3 linked regions of the Daphnia pulex genome follow. The main gene of each other region encodes a partner of the protein of the gene in region 3 in a complex. Links are inferred from orthologs where the notes say so. Each region holds a gene or a part of one and is shown on either strand. Other genes may lie near its edges.

Evidence for each region.
Region 1: DNA polymerase epsilon subunit 3-like (region 3) and molybdopterin synthase catalytic subunit-like share a complex: the UniProt entries of both Drosophila melanogaster proteins name them as parts of the ada2a-containing (ATAC) complex. The link is inferred for Daphnia pulex from reciprocal best matches to the Drosophila melanogaster genes Chrac-14 and Mocs2B.
Region 2: the proteins of DNA polymerase epsilon subunit 3-like (region 3) and chromatin accessibility complex protein 1-like are in contact, whole or in part, in a crystal structure (PDB 2BYM), measured with the Drosophila melanogaster proteins. The link is inferred for Daphnia pulex from reciprocal best matches to the Drosophila melanogaster genes Chrac-14 and Chrac-16. Residues at the interface, in NP_476646.2 of Drosophila melanogaster: Ile15, Leu18, Ile19, Glu21, Ala22, Leu23, Pro24, Glu25, Ser26, Ala27, Ser28, Val29, Ser30, Glu32, Ala33, Ala36, Ile37, Arg39, Ala40, Ala41, Val43, Phe44, Ala45, Phe47, Val48, Thr49, Lys62, Thr63, Ile64, Thr65; in NP_001285148.1 of Drosophila melanogaster: Thr35, Gly36, Leu37, Thr39, Asn40, Glu41, Val42, Phe44, Leu45, Met46, Lys48, Cys49, Thr50, Glu51, Leu52, Phe53, Val54, Arg55, His56, Leu57, Ala58, Gly59, Tyr62, Arg69, Pro70, Gly71, Glu72, Ala73, Leu74, Lys75.

The regions. Positions count from the first base shown.
Region 1 is NC_060026.1:10,881,561-10,885,954, forward strand, and holds the start of molybdopterin synthase catalytic subunit-like, read right to left. Parts: upstream 2,802-4,394; 5' UTR 2,076-2,801; coding exon 1,947-2,075; intron 1,884-1,946; coding exon 1,771-1,883; intron 1,671-1,770; coding exon 1,483-1,670; intron 661-1,482; coding exon 566-660; intron 495-565; coding exon 329-494; intron 272-328; coding exon 1-271. Other genes in the region: pecanex-like protein 1, read right to left, coding at 3,789-3,992, 4,055-4,195, 4,262-4,394. UniProt on the Drosophila melanogaster protein: Catalytic subunit of the molybdopterin synthase complex, a complex that catalyzes the conversion of precursor Z into molybdopterin.
Region 2 is NC_060025.1:6,928,018-6,930,769, forward strand, and holds chromatin accessibility complex protein 1-like, read left to right. Parts: upstream 1-1,566; 5' UTR 1,567-1,682; coding exon 1,683-1,817; intron 1,818-1,894; coding exon 1,895-2,015; intron 2,016-2,076; coding exon 2,077-2,153; 3' UTR 2,154-2,252; downstream 2,253-2,752. Other genes in the region: mediator of RNA polymerase II transcription subunit 12-like, read right to left, coding at 1-21, 78-289, 353-512, 576-767, 853-960, 1,098-1,187; metallo-beta-lactamase domain-containing protein 1-like, read left to right, coding at 2,560-2,689. UniProt on the Drosophila melanogaster protein: Histone-like protein which promotes nucleosome sliding of ATP-dependent nucleosome remodeling complexes. Part of the chromatin-accessibility complex (CHRAC) which uses energy/ATP to increase the general accessibility of DNA in chromatin.
Region 3 is NC_060025.1:6,579,608-6,582,633, reverse strand, and holds DNA polymerase epsilon subunit 3-like, read left to right. Parts: upstream 1-1,314; 5' UTR 1,315-1,462; intron 1,463-1,663; exon of another isoform or gene 1,664-1,686; 5' UTR 1,687-1,697; coding exon 1,698-1,883; intron 1,884-1,954; coding exon 1,955-2,039; intron 2,040-2,097; coding exon 2,098-2,294; 3' UTR 2,295-2,371; downstream 2,372-3,026. Other genes in the region: E3 ubiquitin-protein ligase LRSAM1-like, read right to left, coding at 2,528-2,647, 2,717-3,025. UniProt on the Drosophila melanogaster protein: Accessory component of the DNA polymerase epsilon complex. Participates in DNA repair and in chromosomal DNA replication. Histone-like protein which promotes nucleosome sliding of ATP-dependent nucleosome remodeling complexes.

The sequences.
Region 1 (4,394 bases), on a different chromosome or scaffold from region 3:
TCATCTTCTTTATTATTCTGAAGATTAAACGGTCCGTCGAAATATTCAGGACTAATGCTTTCCAAATGAAGGATTCTATCTTCAAGGGCTTTCAAGCGTCCGTACACATCCAGTGGAATAGGTTGTTCTCTTGAATTAAAACCCAAGTGTTTTTCCATATTTTGTAGCCGTTCTTGGATAGCAGGAGTCGGATTCAATTTGGTGTTTACTGAAGATGGAGCCGGAACTTCAGAGTGTGTTTGTGGTCCCCACATATTTACGCATCTCGACACTAAAACGTAAAGAAATCAGTAATCAGCGTTGAATCCTTAAAATAAAATAATTTTACCCTTTAGATGACTTTTACTATCTTTTCTGCTTACAAGCACTGCCTCTGTGCGAGCACATGAATTCTCTAATTCGTTTAATGGTAGTCTGTGACAGAACTCCTGAACGTTGAATACGTCCGACTCTGATCGTTTCCGTTCCATAAACGCAGTAATTCGTTTTCCCAACTGAAAAATTAAAAACATTTAAAATATTTATTGAGAAAAGACTTGATAAAAGTAAAACGGATCAACAATACCTCTAAATTTGAAGCCTTGATCTGAACGCAATCGGCAGCTGCATAGTCCACCATTATTTTCCTCTTTTTAGATAGACTAGCGTCTTCTTCTTGATCTATATCAATTCAAAACATGCTATTGACTATTAAGCATCTATCACATCAAGCAAATATTCCAACAACTCATTCTCATGGAAATAAAAAATTTCAAATCCCGAATTTCCCCACCTAACAAGATTAGAATATTTTCGTACTTATTTTTTTTAATTTTGACTAATAAAAACTTCTGAACGCTTGTGCTTTCTTTAAGCCATACTTCTATAAGCCAAATAATCAAATGACGTACGCGGCAGTGAAGGGAACAAATGCAGAAGTCACAACTAAATACTAAATAAAGGACGTCTATGTGTGGTTGTCCCTATTCCGTCAGATAATTAGCTTAAAGCTTATAGGCAGCAAAGCTGTCGAACCACACGAAAACGTCTAATAGATTGAAGCAGTGCGTAGAATGCAGCATTGCAGCTACTCATCTTTAGAATCACACAGTATATGTTATTATATAATGAAAGGGCAAAGATTGGAAAGCGTTGGGAACTGGAAAGTACTTGGATAATAAGTAAAATGAATGTTAACATTGCTTAGTTAAAAAATAAAAAGAGAATTAAAAACCCTTAAAAACCTTATATTTTAAATGTCAGACTTGACAGCACTACGTAGATATTATCACTTTAGTAAGATTGAAACTACAGCCAAACTAACGTTCATGCTCCGATTTTTAACTAATGAAAAGTACTGGAAACCATTTCAAATATTGTTCTGATATCGGAAAATCGATTAAGGTTCAATATTTGTGTTACTTGTTAAGAATCAGTACTGTTATGAATTCAAAATTCATACAACAAATAGGAACAACTAAGCATTATTTGTTTAATTTTTACTTGTCCACAGGCATTCTTTGTTGGCTTTCCATTCAGGAGCACCATCACTATAAAGTTCTTTCTTCCAAATTGGTACAGACTTCTTAAGCGCGTCAATCCCAAATTGAACAGCCTCTAAAGATTCGGCTCGATGCTCGGATGAAACAGCTATTACAACACTTGCTTCACCAACCGGAACTTCTCCCAATCTGGAAAGAAAAATAGGTAATTAAAACAAACAAACAAACAAAAAAATGTTTCTTAAGTTTCCTCATTATAACTACAGTATGGTAAAAAAAAAAATTATACCTATGGTGGAATGCAATGTGTTTAACCTTCCATTTTTCTCTAATATTCTCACAAATTTTCTTGATTTCTTTACATGCCATTGGCTTGAAAGCTTCATACTCTAGACTAATCACCTTAAATATAAAGCAAATTTGATTTAGAAATATTTGACTTTAGATTATTCAAATTGACATTACTTTCTTTCCTTCAAAATTATTCCTTGTTGTTCCCACAAATAATGACACAGCTCCAGTAGAATGTTCAACCACTTTAGAGTAGATTGAATTCACATCAAGCTGTTCTTCAACTAAGTTAATAATATCCATTTTAAAATACAATTGAAGGGCTCTGGCGAATTAAGCTGTAGCACACTGCTTATGAAGAATCCTAGCGACCTAGCCACCACTTAATGGTGGGATCACTGCAATTTCCTTGCAATTTTTAATGTCTATAAGCTGATCAAATTCAACATATTCTTCATCAGCAGCTAGGACAATGTTCTTTGATATGGATTCTAGAGCTGGAAATTGTTCTGTAATGATGCACAAAAGATTTGCCCCAGTGATTCTTGAAGTTGTTCTGGAAAGTGAAATATTGTCAAAATCTTTTCCAACTAACTCTCTGGCCTTTGCAAAGAACAGAATCCGAATAACTACTTCATCCATTGATCAAGGTCAAGACTACAGCATCCCTGACTATAATTTTAACCAGATTTGTTGACATGTAACAATCAATAAAAAAATATATGTTAATTAGTTGTCACCGCAAAAGTAAATTTAACTTTGAGTAGTAATCTTGATTAGCAATACGCTCTTCTTATGCGTTGACTATGTGTCTGTAAAACTGTGACAGAGGCTCGGCAATCAGAAAAGCGTCTGGTCACTGGTCGTCTGCTGGCACTGGCAAGTGGGAAGTGGCAATGACATAAAGAGACTAAAGCGTATTTTTTAAAAATTCAAAAATTGTAATATGCGCGGAGTTTTTCTTGCGCGCAAAATATATACATTAATTTTATGCCCCCTTATCTGCAAGAAGCCAACAACGATGCAAATATTCTATGCAACTTTATGTGTATTGTGTATAGATGTTATACCCTTGAAAAAGTAGTGGTCTAGCAAAAAATCGTGCGCAGTTTACGCCGATGCGCACCACAGCGGCAGATAGCAGAACTAAACTTTTTATTACGCTTGACTACCTGTCTACTTCAAGAAACGAGACGAGAACCGACTGCTTGTCGAACAAAGGACTTGAAGTAGACAGGTAGTCAAGCGTAAAAAAAAGTTTAGTTCTGCTATCTGCCGCTGTGGTGCGCATCGGCGTAAACTGCGCACGATTTTTTTCTAGACTACTACTTTTTCAAGGGTATAACATCTATATCGTATCAGAGCGATCGTATTCGTTCACCGATTCTTTCATAATCAACAATTTCATAATATTCAAATTTCAAACTATGTGCATACCGGCATACTATTGTCAGGGGTATGGAGAGATTTATGGAGATATCTTTCTCTCCATACCCCTGCTATTGTTATTTAAAAATCCGACAAGTTTTTCTATCAGACACCAAATAAAATGACAGGCGCATTCTTATGCTACTGGAGTCACTCCTCTATGCGACTGTTAAGTGTTTACTTTCTCACCATCACTCCTTGTGTCACTACTAACACGGGAATTTTCGTGATTTTAATAATTAACAGTAACTATGAGGCGGGTGCGGTAGTTGAATAAGGAAAAATCTAAATATATAGTTCCTAGACTACAAACAATCCAAAAGTTTATTTGTTTCGAATTACTCAATTTCAAATTTCATTCGACATTTGAAAAACTCGGTAAACGTTATTGACAATGTTTTCAAATCACAGTGGTTTTTCCTAGTCAATGTCAAATAACACATAGCATTTCCGCATAACACAAACATTATTTACAAAACAAGGTTCGTGAACAAATTTCGGGGTTCACATTCAAACCAAAATACCGTTTCATATTACAACGATGAGCCTAATGGACTCGAAAAAAAAACACTGCGGCGTTTGGGAATTTCAATCAGCAACTCCCTGGGTTTTAAGCTTAGTATCATTAACGACGATAGAATCCCCGATGTTGACACTAACCAATGATGCAATTTCGACCGCCGATTCGGCGATTGGGACGTATTTATCGTCTATTTTCAAGAGAAGGATGACGCGATCCACGTGCGATCTTTGTCGCGAATCTGGATGATTAGGCACCCAACGATGTACCACCTAATCAAACACAAAGTACAGTAAAAGGAAAACTATTCACCCATCGCGTATAGTTTTCTTACCTGTCCTTCCATACCCACTTCGGGAAGCCATGATTTCCAATAAGATTTTCCACCTTGGTTACGAATTGTTGGACTTGGCCAGAGAACATCAATTCGTCGGCCCAGATTAATGGTATCGTAGACTTGATTGGGATCGACAATCTGAGTAGAGAAAAAATAAGTAAATTAATTTACAAATATACAATTTAGAAGAGCTTTAAAAAGTACCTTGACTCGTTGGTCGACAGAAATCCTGTTGTCCATAAACGGCTCCGTTTCGTACAGAGGTCGGTCAGTGTCGACAGTTTCAAGTCTGTCGAAACGGTCGCGTCTAGAACGATCTCGTCTGCGACTCCTTTCT
Region 2 (2,752 bases), about 350 kb from region 3:
TTGGCATTCAAGAAGTCCCTCCTGAAAGACAAATGAAATTGCAAAAACGAAAAAATAAAATTTTATCTCCACAATACCTCAAACATCACTTTGCATAATTGCTGGCAATAATTAAATTGGCGAAGAGCAAGCTTCTGTTCATCACTCATCAAAGGGCTACCATTATGATATGCAGTAGCATTTGAAGCATATGCAGCAGAAGTTCCTCCACTATTTGTGGATTTTTGATAGAAATCTTGTAGTTTCACAATTTGTTCCTTTATGAACCGGACCAATGTACTAGTCCACTCTATATAACAAAAAAATGATTATAATTGCAGATAAAATAAATTATTTAAATCTTGGAAACTACCTTGAGAGGAATCTGGAACTTGACGCTTTTTCATTTTGGCTTCAGAAATAGCCACTGAATACGCAGATGTCATCTTGATTAACCATATTGCTCTAGACATAGGAACCTGATATTCACTTAGTTGGATAAATATTTCTTCCTTCTTGTTGAATATTGGCACCTTGTAAAAGGAATCAAAAGTTGGTATTTTTATTTGTTTAAGATATTCTGAGTATAATATTACTCTTTTTCCTAGATTCATCAAAGGTTTGCTGCCTGCTAAGTCTTTGAACCAAGACTCAATGAATGCCTTGGACTTTGGAGTAACATTATGGAAATTTTCTTTGGGATTGATGAGTTGGCGTTTTCGGCCAGTATCAGGCAATGTGTTGATTTCTTGTTTTTTTGTAAGCACTCCATTAATAAAAGTTTGGACCTAACATTAGGAAAGAATAATAAAATGGTTGTCAGCCTAGAACAATCTATGAACATCATACTAATTACAGTAAATTGTAGTTTACCTTTGATAAAGAAAAGTTGTGATTTTTAGCAGATCCATACTCTTCAGACTGATTAAGATTGGGTGTATGAGAAAATCCTTGTTTCACATTGACAGGAGTCAGTTCATCCTAAAAATAGTATTCCAAATGTTAATGAAAGGAAAACATAAAGAATTATCCTTTTTTTTAAATGAAACTGCCTTTTGGCAACTAGCATTTTCGTACTTGGGCTCATAAAAAAGCTGCAGCTACATTCAAAATATTACCTCTTTTTGTTTGGGATCCTGTGGGTAAACATCGGGCGGTCCTAATCTCAATTTTTTAAGAGGACGATTTTCCATTGATAAACAAGCCATAACTAGCTCTAAAATCAATTTCCACGCAGAAGTATAAATTTGTTACCACACATCAATGTTTACACAACACAAGTACACAAGTAATCAAATACTTCTAAATTCTTATCAAGAGTTCCGATTTTCAGACCATGGTTCAGACAGATATATCAGTGTGATGGCTTTGCTACAACGTTGCATTTCTATAATTTGCTGTTACGGCACACATAAAGAATAATTGGAGATGAATGTATTTGAATTTTGGACTAATCGTAGTCTAGCAACTGAATTTAGAAATAGTTATTAATACAATTGGTATCAATTTATTATGAACAAATTAATGACAAAATATGCTCCTTGCATTTTCAATTTTCATTGATCACATCTTGGCAGTGCTGTAAAAGTCAGCAGACTATATTTTGAACATTTCTATTTTGGCATTTTGTTAGAAATTGTAGTGGCGCGGAATTGCTGAATTGATTGAAGTGAAGGACTAAATCAAGTGAAATTAAATTAAGAATGTCTTCCTTTAAACCGAAATTAGGAGACGGCTCCATAATATTACCACAAGCACGAGTAAAAATGATTATGAAGAGTTCCCCAGATACTGAGAGCATATCCACTGACGCATTATACTTTGTAACAAAAGCAACGGTATTTTTAGTTTGTTTCCAGATAATTTTTTCATCTTATTTTTCTCATCTTCATCTAAAATGTTTCAATGTTTTAAGGAGTTTTTTGTAGAACATTTAGCCCAAGAGATTTATGAAAGTACCAAAAAGTCAAATGAGCTTACTTACAAAGGTCTAGCTGACATTGTTCAAAAAAGTGATTCTATGCAGTTTCTCAAAGGTACTGTGTTACTAAATGGTATTAGTAAAATTTTAATTTATTATTATTATTGTGTTTTCAGATATGGTTCCTAAGAAAATAACATACAAGGAATATCAAGAAATTCTGAAGGAAAAAGGAAATGGTGACTTGTTTTGAGTGTTTATTCAAATTCATTTCTGTCTTCAACATTACTTGCTCATATTTATAAGTGTTCCACTAAGGAAAGTTCAATTTCAAATACATTGATTGAACCCATTGTTCCTTTACGATTCACATCAACTAAGATAGTTTGGTGGTTCAATAGACTGCAGTTAATGTACTGTTGTAATTAATTAATTGCGGTTTTATGTGACCATTTGTTAGCCTAAACGGGTGTGTCCGTATTTTTTTCTCCCTCAATTTAGCGTACGTTATTTTCAAACCACAGCTGCTGCAATAAGCAAAATGGCAAAGTTCAGCGTGTCACCCATAGATGGCGAAAAAAGCAGTCTAAAAAAACAAAACATTTGATTTTGATTTTTGACATTTTGACACTAGAAGGGCTACTCTAATTTCTAAAAGGATGGCGAACTCCAACCGTGTTACAGTAATACATACTGGATATTCTTCTACCACAATTGAGGAAAAAGACGAAAATCTTCCTTTCGTCCGTGCAAATTGCTCATGCGTATTGGTTACCGGCAGTAAAAATAGTAACAAACAGCACAATCCAAATATGTTCGCAATAACGTGATAACAGTTAATAAATTATTTTT
Region 3 (3,026 bases):
AGGATAAAAAATGATGCGATTGATGTCTTTGAAAAATTTTGAGATCGGAAAAATTATATATGAAATTAACGATGATTAAAGACAGTTTGATTACCTAGTCTATTTAAAAAAAAAGATGAACCATTATTTTAGTAGAGATTTGTTTCTTAAATTGTTGTTATTTATTTATAGAGAAACTTGGGAGTAAGCAAAACTTGTTCATTTATCCGTCTCATTCAAAAGAGCGTCAGACTTATTTCTTCAACTTTTTGTTTTTCCATCCACGTCTGATTTACAGTTTCCGATGTGGGCGGATGTAGGTCTGAAGGGGCCAATGGTAGACAGCGACACAGCGTATATCAGTTTTGTATCCGTTGCCTGGAGTCGGAGTGGATGAGTAGTATCCCGGGGCATATCCTGCCTTTTCTCTGATTCCCGACTCTCACACTTTGTGTAGGATTTGAAAATATATCTTTGGATCAAACTTGTCTTGAATTCCATGACCTGATTTGTAGGCGACTGGGGATGGTAGGAGGTTTCCGAGAAACGAATTTTATAAGTGAAAGTTAGAGTCGCAAATCAATAATCTAACTTCTCGTAATTTCGGCGTTTGGCAATCTATTATTCCCTATAGGCTATATACGGGTGTATAGCAAGCGATTATCCATTCAAAAGTTTTCAGGTACACACAACAGTCATTCCCTTGTAAGATTAGCATCGATGGAAATCTAACTTTTGGCTGCTAAAGGAAGTTTGGGTCCCTTTGACTCGGAGATGTAGAGTGGCTTGGCGAAAAGGAGGAAAGTTTGTTATCCTATTACACATGCCGCTCTTGACACTATCTAACGACAAGTCTAACGATCTTTTGCCGTCTTTTGCGTACGTCATATTTGGTGATCTCCATCCATTCCGTCAAAATCGTTATTGAATCTAATAAGAACAGAAGTGATCACGATTGTTAAAATTTTCATGTCGATTTGTTTTAACATCCAAGTGTTGTTCAAGATACAATAAATAATACTAGTAAAACAAAATCGGTTCAAGTTAGAATAACCAATCTAAGCTGCTGAAGCAACAATGTACTGTAAATACTAAATATTGGTGTAATAAAATTGATATTTCACTAGTTTGATATTTAACCTATATCTTGTCTGTTCATATATTAAGATCTGCTTATCTTCTTCGTGCTACATAAAAAAAATTATTATTTATCTTTATCATACGCCTCTTTATTATGCGACTCGCGACTGCTGGTCTAACGGGGGCGAAAAACTTATTTGTGCAAACGGTTAGAATATTACTCACAGATGGCGATGTGGTCTTGGCACTTCTTATTTTCCCGCCCTTTATTGTAGCAGAAGCAACATCGAAATCATCAACTGTGACTGTGTATTTGTTTCAGCAAAAATCTGAAGTTTTCAAGTGTCGGAGTGTTGGTTTCGGTATAATCGGAAATAAATTATTGTAGGAGAAGTTTTGACAGGTAGGATGTTTTCTTTTTCCTATGAAAATCTTGTAACAAGTGTAGTTAATTTTTTAAAAAGTTTCTAGAAATCTCTTGGAAATGACTAAATGGTGTTATTATTTGAAATAATAAGTGACATTTTCTCTCTTTATTGATTTGAATAGAATTCATATGATGAAATATATGTTTTGTTCAACTAATGTATCTAGCTGATGACAGGAATTTTGTTTTGATTTTCCCAGGTACGTAAGCAATGGCAGAACGACCTGAAGACTTAAACCTTCCCAACTCAATAGTAGCAAGAATCATAAAAGAATCCTTGCCAGAAGGTGTTAATGTGTCTAAAGAGGCTAGAACCGCCATTGCTAAAGCTGCTTCTGTATTTGTTCTCTATTGCACATCATGCTCTAACAATCTGGCTATGAAAGCTAACAGAAAGGTGAATCACAGAATCAGAAAATTTTGTTCCATTCTCTCAATTATTTACTAAAATTTTTTTGTTAAATAAAGATCATCAGTGGCCCGGATGTCCTGGGAGCAATGGCTGACATGGAATTTGAAAGATTTATTGAACCACTACAGGCTTCTCTTGAAGGTAATTTCTCTTTTTCAAAACAATTTTTAGAATGTCAACATGTTCTTTTCTTTTACAGTGTACAAGAAAGCACAGAAGGAACGCAAAGAAGCTATGGCTAAACGGAAACAGGAAAAATCCGACAAAAAACCGGAAGATATTGAAGAAGGATCAGATGAAGGTGGAGAAAATGATAATGGAAATGATAATGAAAATGACAATGAAAATGATAATGAAAATGAAAAGGAGAATGAGGATGAAGAAGTGGATGAATGATCTTAAATGACAAAAAAATGTGTGATAAAATTTGTATTCGCACGACAAAAAAATTAATAAAAGAAAAAAAAACACGACCTCAAATAGTTTGTATACTGTGAAAATTAAAGTGTGATTTACGTCTCGAAACGACAGTAGCAACAGACAAGATAAAAATGAAGAAAACATTTTTTTTAGGATGCCAAAGGCACAAAGATATGACCGATGAAAAGCTAAAAAGCAAATAAATAACATTATGAGTGAACCTGCAGTCGTTTAACGATGGTTGCCCGGCACATTGGGCATTGATTTAGCTTGTTGCCACATCCAGAACAACAACATAAGTGTCCACAAGAAAGGAATATAACTTGGCACTGTTTAATATAAATGCAATTAGAATGAATTCGTTTTGAAAAATTGAACTGTAATAAATGTAAGCTTACTGAACTGTCCAAGCATATGACGCAATTAGTTTCCATAAAAACTTCCATCGGAGGAGCGGATGCCACCTCCTCATCATCGAGTACAGAGGAAGGCGCACTTGGAAGATACTGTTGTGCATGTTGAATATTATCAGGCATGTTATCGATTAGACGCTGATACTGGACAAGCCAATAGTCGGCCGCTTGGTTCTGTCGCTGGACTTCCATTTCTTCCAAGAGGTGTTTTAGATCTTTACGACGCAGCTGCTGTTGCTCTATTAACTGGGAAAGCAAGTCAGCCAGTTGTATACGATTTTCCGAGAGCAAGTTC